Cricetulus griseus: one gene and its partner. The protein of the gene in region 1 binds, or shares a complex with, the protein of each later gene. Links are inferred from orthologs where the notes say so. Each region holds a gene or a part of one and is shown on either strand. Other genes may lie near its edges.

Region 1 (4,241 bases):
CCTTTGTTTTGTTGAGACAGGGTCTCACTGTGTAGCCTTGACTGCCCTGGAACTCAGAAGACTAGGTGACACTGGAATTACAGGTATGCACCACAGCTAATCTCTTTGTAGGCTGGTCTCAGAACTACAGATCCTCCAGTCTGAGCCTCCTCTGTGTTTAGATTACAAATCTGCTCTACCACACCCAGCTTTGATTAATTTTGAAAATGCCTCCTTTCATGGGGCCAGTAAGAAACTACACAGCAGTAGCATAAAATGCTCACATGTTAAATAAAAATAAACTTCAATTAAAAATGATGAAAATCCAAGTTTACCAGTTAGCCTCTCCACTAAGTATAAACACAAATTTAGAACCTGACACTACCTTTAAAAAAAAGTGTCAACAAATTCAAAACCAAGATATAAACCCAGGATAGTCAGTCCTACAACCAACTTCAAGGGTCCATATACCATTAAAAATGCAAGTAAACCTCAGATTCAGACAAACTTAGGTTTAAATTTCACCTCTGCCACTTCCCTCCTACATAAGCTACAGAAGGCTTTTAAAATTTCATTCTACTTACAGGTAAATGGTAATAATGAAACTACCTACGTCAAACTTAAAAAAAGAAAGCACAATGAATTTGTCAAGTACAATATTATATATATATATATATATATATATATATATATATATATCTCATAGTGCCTCCCCTTTTTTAGAACCTGCAACTTAGAACACAAACTCCTAAAGTGTAAAAAATATTGAAAACTTATTCCTGAAAATCACAAGCCAGGAAACAACAACAAAGAAGCATGATTTAAGTATTGGTCTTAAAATATCATTTTTAAATCTTCTATTTCTGATCCCACATGAAACCTCCTCCTCCTAAAATAGTAAAAGTCTACTGGGTAATTAAAATAACAAGAATGTTAAATTTTCAAATTACTGGTTATTTAAATTTAACCTAAAATTCTGGCCATTCTTTTCCTAAATTAGAAAATACTGTTATAAAATATGTATGTAAAACTACTACAGAATACTTTTACCCAAGTCACAAAAATGCTGAATTTAAAATTAGAATTAATTTGTTCCCAACATGACACCAGTAGATGATCCTACACAATATTCTGGGAAGTAGTGCTCTAAGTGTCAAGAATAAGGAAATCTTATCATTTCATTTTGAATATTTCAGGCCTCTCCAACAACATGGCAGGTCTACATTAACTCCCACACTAACTAGTCTGTCTTTGACTATCTTTCTAGCCAACTGAGCTACTAATAACCATACAAAAGTAAACGACAGGGAAAAAATCCCTTTTAAAAGATGTAACATTTAATTTTGCATGCAGTGCACTGTTATATTTTCAATCACCTACTTAAAACTACTCAATGTTACATATGTAAATACTGCACAGCAACTTTTAGGGACTTAAGGTCTAGTTCTGTGGATTAAGGCAAAGGATGCTGCAGGTCCAATACTGTTAATTTATCATCACTTCCACCAGAATGCACAGAAGACAAAACATTTCCAAAGACAAAGATGAGGCTGACTTCTGAATGATCATAGATGGAAGGAAACGGAACCCTAATTTTGGTGCAAGGACACTGTTTAAAAACATTCTTAAGAACTGAGTATGTTTCCCACATGGGTGTGCTGGTCTGGAACTTTAAAAACCAGACACTTAACAGAGGACATTTCCAAAGTGCACCACACACATATGTCCGTCGAGTTTGAAAAACGTCATGGTCTTTTCCAGGAAACGCTCAAATTTATTTAGCAAGAGTTCTCTCCCTCCTCGCCCCTAGGTATGAAGTCTCCACAGTCGCCAAAGAAAACGGGCAAAAGAAAAAAAAAAAAGTCTTAGTACAATGATCAGATTTCCTATCACTAACGTGAGAACTTGAGTCCTGCATCTGGTCCCACTGCTGCCACCGCATTTAACACACAGTAAAAGGAGTCGCACCCGCTCTCCCTCCACACAGAGCTGGTCCTATCAGGAAGACAGGATGTCACCAAATCTGCCCCAGGGGGAGCGGCAGCTAACTTGAGCAGAGAACAACTATGGGGGCTGGGGGGCAGAGAGGTGTCTTTGTGAACAATACTACCTTCCGGGGGGAACATGGGAGCAGCAATTGAAAAGAAAAGAAAAAAGGTAACGATGAGAAAATTAATAATAAAGAAAAAGACCGCAAGGGGGGGAGGTGAGGAAGGGAGGGCAAAGGGGCGGGGTGTGCAGACTGCGACCTCCCGAAGGAAGGAAGGAAACACCCTGAAGAACCAGGAAGCACTTGGCGGCGGGGAGGAGAAACTGCAGGGGAAAGTGAGGGTCGGCTAAGCCGTTTCCCCCGCCCGCCCGCCCGCTCGCCCGCCGGCCTCGCCGTGACAGTCCCAGGCCCGGCGGCGCCGCACGACCCTCCACCGTCCCCGGAGCCGGGACCCCCAGGCCCGGGTCCCGCCGCCCCGCCCCGCCCGCCCGCTCGGCTTCCTATTTTCGGAGCACACACCCTACAAGGAGCGGAGCGGGCGGCCGGGCCTGGCTCCCCCGGCGCGGCAGCGGGCTCGGCGGGCAGCGGAGGCGTGCGGCCCACCCCCCGGAGCCGGAGCCCGCCCGGGGACACGCTCCGGCCCTCGCGCCGCGGCTCCCGCTTCCGGCCGCCCTGCCCCTCGCCGCCGCCGCCGCGGCGCCTACCTTCTCCTCATCCGACAGCTGCTCCTCCAGATCCGCCATCTTCCTTCTGGCGACAAACTGTGGCGCTGGTGGCGGCGGCGGCGGCCACCTGACTTCCCCCTTTCCGTGCGGTCTTCAGCGCCGCGCGCCCCCGCCAAGGGAGGGGCCCGCCGCCCAGGCCGCCGCGCACGCGCCGCGAAGCTCCGCCCCCTCCCCCGCCTCCTCCTCCCCGGGCCTCGGCCGCCGCGCACGCGCCCCGGGCTCCGCCTCCCTCTCCTGCGGGCGGGCGGGGGCCGGGGCCGGAGCCGGGCTGTGCGCGTGCGCGGCGCCTGCAGAAGCCGGATTGCTATGGAGCCTCCTATCCTGCTCCGCTCTGGGTGCCTCTCTCTACCCAGTGGTGACCATATGGACCCCGTTGGCGACGAGTACATGCTGAGCCCGTGACTTTGTTCCCACCAAATCCTGAACGCTGCCAGCGAAATTGTGAAAAGCTGTACCGATGGATGAACCATTTTTAAATGTTAGGCGTGGGGGGGGGGGGAGGAAAAAAAAAAAACCCTGTTCACTAAAATAGAAATACACAATCCAGTCCATAATTGGGGAGATTGCTCTTAATGTTCTCATTGATTCGTTCAACAAATATTTATTGGTCTTTTATGATAGGAAGACTTCTGTGGTAATTCTTAGGAATAAACAATGCAGAAAAAACAACAAACAAAAAACCCAGAGATGCTGCTCTTAAGCTCACCTCTATTAATTAAACATTGAGTTAGGGGAAGGCATTGCGCTCTTGGAAGGAAATAAAATGTTGTTATTTTGGATCTCTGTCCTCATGAACTGGCTGGCCAGAATGCATACAGGCCACCCAGCAAAATTTTCAATTGCATACAACCAATTTTTAAGGTAAATATCCCATGAAGGATTTGAGACTTATCAAAAACATTATTCATTCTTTTCAACTTTTATTGGAAGTCTCTTATTTTTATTTGCCAAATCTGGCAACTCCACTACTAAACCTTCAAGTTTACAGAAAAGTAAAGCTGTAGTCAAAGCTGGAACAGAAAGAAGATGACAATCTTGCTAAAATTGAGTTGCTAGTTCAGTAGGCCTGAGTGGGACCAGAGAATCTGTTTCTTACATGCTCCCAAGTGAGAGGACTGCTACTTGTCTGACAACTACACTTTGTACAGCAAGTACTTGGAGTTCAGCTGGGAATTAAGATTTTATAATTAGAAAGTGAGAAGCCATTGAAAGCATCCAAACGGTGTCAAGCCATGAACAGAAATGTATTCAGCAGCATCAATCTGACAGCTGTGTGTAAATGCCAGGTAACCCTAAGGAGTTCAAATCCATCTTTGCGTCCAAGAACACTATCATTAAGTGGCTTGCTAAAGTGTTCATTCACAGAGAACAGGAAGAGGAAGTAAGCTGACGTGTTCAGGGAAACAGCAAGTGTCCTGTTGAAGATAAACCTGTGGAGACAAGATGAAAGTGAAGTACAGTGTCTGTCTGGCCAACGACCTCAGGAGCTACAAATCAATATCAATTTCCTCTTTTAGGGTTTCAAAGTCCTGGTTTCACTTATCACT
Region 2 (4,267 bases), about 140 Mb from region 1:
GGATAGATACAGCAGGGGCACCCATCCCCTTCCTCCACCCTGTACCTCAACCCTCTGCTCACATCCAGGAAGCCGGAGAGTTCGGTTTGTAGCAGGTCTTTCAGCTCCTTCTTGCTCAGCTTATATTTGTCCCCCTCCTTGCCAGAATGGGCATGGAACACGTTGATGAGGGTCTCCATGGCAGTCTCCAGCTCAGAGCCCATTTCAGCAGCACACCTACCCCCACAACGATGGAAGTAAGCTGTAAACCAGGTTTAGGATATCTGGGTCCTGGGTAAGGGAATCCTCAGATTTGACCCTGATTTCACAGCTCAAACAGCTACAAGATGCCCCCCCAACTTGTACTTTATCTTTCATTGAGATTTCGAAATGTGGGAGAAACCCTAGCACACCTAAATCCAATCCATCATTCTGGGTCTCTTCAGAGGGATGGGCAGGGAGACTGAGCAATAGGAACTGGGCTGTCTTAAGCCTGCAACAGACATTCAGTGGCTGGCTCCTGGCTGCCTGGGCAGAGACAGGGTGGGGTGGGGCAGGCATGGGTGGACACAGGACCAGGCAGCCTTCTAGCTCTATTTTTACCTTCCAGGCCTGTCACAGTCAAACTTTGCTCTTAGTAGTAAGTGAGCTGATGTCTCTACTGCCTACTCCAAGAAGAAGTCTGGTATCTTTGGTGAGCTGATGGGGGTAGGCAGTCTGAGTGGGAGACCCAAGAGTTGTTGGGGAGGGACGTCTCACTGTTTTGGCTCTTCCTGTCAGCAGCATGGGTCTTCCTCTTTAGGCATTGAGGATCAAGCCCAGGCCAATTGGCTCTATCTCCATCTTTTTGTGCTTGGGGATTTATTTATTTATAGCAGGGTCACATTCTATAGCCTATGCTGTCCTGGAACTAGCTCAGGCTGGCCCTCAACTTGTGGGTAATCCTGTCTCCATGTGCTGGGATTACTGGTCTGAGCTACCATGCCTAGCTCCCCTCTCTCCTCAGTATGTCATTTTGGCTTCTCTGGGGTATACTTCCCATTACCTCCTATTCTACTCATCTCTTCTGCAAAACTACCCGTGTTCATCAGGTAGGAAGAAGGAAGGGAGAGGGAAATGTCTGAGGTTTTTCCTTGGAGACAGCTTCTAACGAGGGAGCTAACCTGAAGGCATTGTCCCTGATGCTGTCCATTCCTGCCTCAGGCCAGCTCTGTTTGTGTAGCTACAGTGGGAGCAGAATAGGGCTGGTTTGGGTTAAATAAAGGACTGAGTGCATTGGGTCATTTGAGCTCAAGGGGCTGGGCAAGTGCAGAAGAATGGGGTGGTCTATTGAGAAGGGACTGCATGCAAGGGGGCCTCCGTCCTGTGGCTCCAGGAGGGTCATGCTTTCCATAGTCTCAGGGGCAGCAGCTCAGGTGTCTCAGCTCAGGTGTCCTCATCCTTCCTCACCACTGGGTATACTGGACAATAGGTCCTGATTAGATGACATCCCAGCGCTTCAATGGAGCCCTTGTGACTGTCACCTGAACTCCAGTCACAAGAAGCAGTTGTCACAGAGACAGGGGGAGATAGAACCCAAGCCCTGCTGATGAAAGGGATAAGAGGGTACTCAAGGGAGGAATTTGGATGGCTCAGTTACCATCCTCATCTATGAGGGGCACCTGGAGGTTTGCCTGGAGCCCTCCAGCAGCTTGGAATTTTATGAAGGGGAGGCCCTAGGGGTGCAAAAGTGGAAAAACAAAGAGGAAAAAAATTGGGGAGAGAGAAGCAGGGGTCAGGACTGGAAAAAGGGATAAGGAGGAGTTCTTGAGAAGGCAGAGATGGGACAGGGCACAGTGCCACAGACCCCCTGCTCCTAGACTAACCTGGGATCTGGTTCTTGGCAAGGCTGGTTAGGGGTAGCAGGGACAAGGCTGGAGAGGGGGGCAGGAGCAGCCTTCTAGTTCTTACGCTAAAGGAGCAGGGCTGCCTCTCCTCCCTCTGGACACCTAGAGACTGGGGTACCTGTCAGGAGACACAGGGTTCTGTGTAGGAAGGTCTGGTGACTTGGAAGCTGGGTGGCATCCTTATTCTCCAAGTTCCTAGCTCTCCGACCTTCACTTCACCTCCTCTCACTACTTTGCAAACTTTATCTCCCCTAGATCCCAAACTTCCCTTGACTGATTCCTTCCAGTCCCTCGCCAGACCCTCGCGGCACACTGTATCCTTTTCCAGGGCTCTTGGGGTCTTTTTGAGAACCCCTTTCCTCCAGGCTGGCTAAGCCAGGGATCTATGCTAGTCAGGGTAGGATACTCACGGTTGGCCTGGGCCTGAAGTGGGAGAAGGTTCTCGACAGACAGACAGGCAAGCTGCAAATGTGGCACCTGGAGCGGTGTGGGGAGACCTGTCTTTAGCTGTCCTTCCCGGCCGACCCTCCTCCCCACCGGCTCCACCCCTTCACAAATGACACCGCGAAGGGCAAGGGGCCAGAAGTGGACAGAGGCGCCCTCTGTCTCCCAGGCGAGAACGGGCTGCCCTATGTTTCTTTCCGTTCTTGGTTGCACCCACTCCCCGAGCCCAGCAGGAAGGAGGTGGAAGAGAAGTCCTGGGAAGGATGCCGTGGTGCGGGCTGAGCAGGGGAAGGGGAGAATTCTGACGAGGGGTGCTTAGCTTGTGCGCCTGCCTCCGAGAGGGGTTTCTGTCTCGGAACTCAGCGAAGAATTTTAATTGGGGTTCTATTATAGGAGCCTCAGCCTGGGGCTTTCCGAGTGCCCTTGGACTGAAGGATCTTTTGCAGGGTCTCTGGTTTCTCAGACGGGGCTTTCCAGCGCTGAATTTCCCAAGTGTTTTTATTTTATTTTTTTCCAAATAGTAGTAGCAGCCCCCCCCGACTCCTGATTAGCCCCCATAATTGGGAGGAATGGCACCCTAAGGTCCCTCCTGAGCAGGCTCTGTCTTGGACGTGTGGCGCAGCGTTGGGATGGCTAGTGACAGCAGGGGCGGTCCCCTCTTTTCCGAATCAGCGGAGGCGGAAACTTGACACTTCGGACTTGGGAGTGGCTCTCTCCCGTCCCTGGTGCTTAAAAACTTCAGCCTTGAGGCTCTAGCTCGGCTTGCTTGCGCATCTCATCCCAACTCCTTTCCTGGGTGAGTTACTCTCTCCCTGACTCTGCAGAGAGCCTGGAGACCTTCTTTTCTTTATCAGCTCCCAGGTTCCTCCTTCCAAGCGGATTCAGGCAGAGATTCAGGAAGTGGCTTTAGGAAAGCAGGCAAAGATCCTTGCGGGAGTATGTGGGTGGGTGGACAGAAATGAGGGGGATGAGTAGGCATGTTTCTTCCCTTCCTGGAGCCCTGATGGCACTGGGTGTCCATGCCAAACGCCTTGTGGGCTGTGGGCTTGAGGAGTTTGAAGAGTCCCTTTCTGGACCTTGTCAACCATGGACAGGAGTGGGGAAGGTCGGTGGGGTCTGGTGCTGAGCACCCTGAGACCCCCTTAGAAGAGGTAGAGATTGGGGCAGAGAAGATGGGTCTGGCCCGATTGAGCCAGACCTGAGTTCAGTTGGTTCTTCGCCAACCTTAGGCTTCTCTACGAGGAGAGACTCTGGTCTCAACATAAATAAGCATTGGAGACAAACGACTTCCTGACCCTAAGACAGGGAGTGACAGCAAGAAAGAGCCATTAGAACAGAGACCCCACCCTGGATGTTACCACACTCAGAAGACTCTAAAGAAAAACCCTCGAAGGTAGAGTGGTTGCCACATGGAGAGACCAATGCAGAGGCATTCCCTAAGACAGACACTTACCCTCGAAGGTAGAGTGGTTGCCACATGGAGAGACCAATGCAGAGGCATTCCCTAAGACAGACACTTAAGAAGGACACACAGACATAAGAGTCAAGAGAAAAATAATTTCTGAAAGTGAACCTCAACTGAAGTAGTTGTCCATTCTGGACCCTTTCATCTTTCCCACACGGACCCTTTTTAGGCAGCCACCTTACCTATATTGGGATCCCTAACTCTCTTGGTCTCTTTCTGCTCCATGAGGTCAGTCTGTGAGGACATCAGCTCCTACTTTGTGGTACTAATGGCAGCGGAGCCGCTGACGGAACTGGAGGCAGCCATTGAGACTGTGGTCACCACTTTCTTCACATTTGCAGGGCGGGAAGGACGAAAAGGTAGCCTGAGCATCAATGAGTTTAAGGAACTGGTCACCGAGCAGTTGCCTCATTTGCTAAAGGTTGGTAGAGGTCTCTGGGACAGAGACTGTCTATGTATACCAGGTGATGACACCGAATAGATAATGTGGCAG

Evidence for each region. Proteins that work in one complex are often made in the same cells at the same time.
Region 2: the proteins of Capza2 (region 1) and S100a1 are in contact, whole or in part, in an NMR structure (PDB 2KBM), measured with the Rattus norvegicus proteins. The link is inferred for Cricetulus griseus from reciprocal best matches to the Homo sapiens genes CAPZA2 and S100A1. Residues at the interface, in NP_001009180.1 of Rattus norvegicus: Thr267, Lys268, Ile269, Asp270, Trp271, Asn272, Lys273, Ile274, Leu275, Ser276; in NP_001007637.1 of Rattus norvegicus: Ser44, Phe45, Leu46, Asp47, Lys50, Asp51, Ala54, Lys57, Ile58, Glu61, Leu78, Ala81, Leu82, Thr83, Ala85, Cys86.

What each region holds. Positions count from the first base shown.
Region 1 is NW_023276806.1:208,911,700-208,915,940, forward strand, and holds the start of Capza2 (F-actin-capping protein subunit alpha-2), read right to left. Parts: upstream 2,834-4,241; 5' UTR 2,713-2,833; coding exon 2,674-2,712; intron 1-2,673. UniProt on the Homo sapiens protein: F-actin-capping proteins bind in a Ca(2+)-independent manner to the fast growing ends of actin filaments (barbed end) thereby blocking the exchange of subunits at these ends.
Region 2 is NW_023276806.1:64,036,491-64,040,757, reverse strand, and holds the start of S100a1 (protein S100-A1), read right to left. Parts: upstream 2,853-4,267; 5' UTR 2,276-2,852; intron 217-2,275; 5' UTR 204-216; coding exon 63-203; intron 1-62. Other genes in the region: S100a13 (protein S100-A13), read left to right, coding at 4,043-4,195. UniProt on the Homo sapiens protein: Small calcium binding protein that plays important roles in several biological processes such as Ca(2+) homeostasis, chondrocyte biology and cardiomyocyte regulation.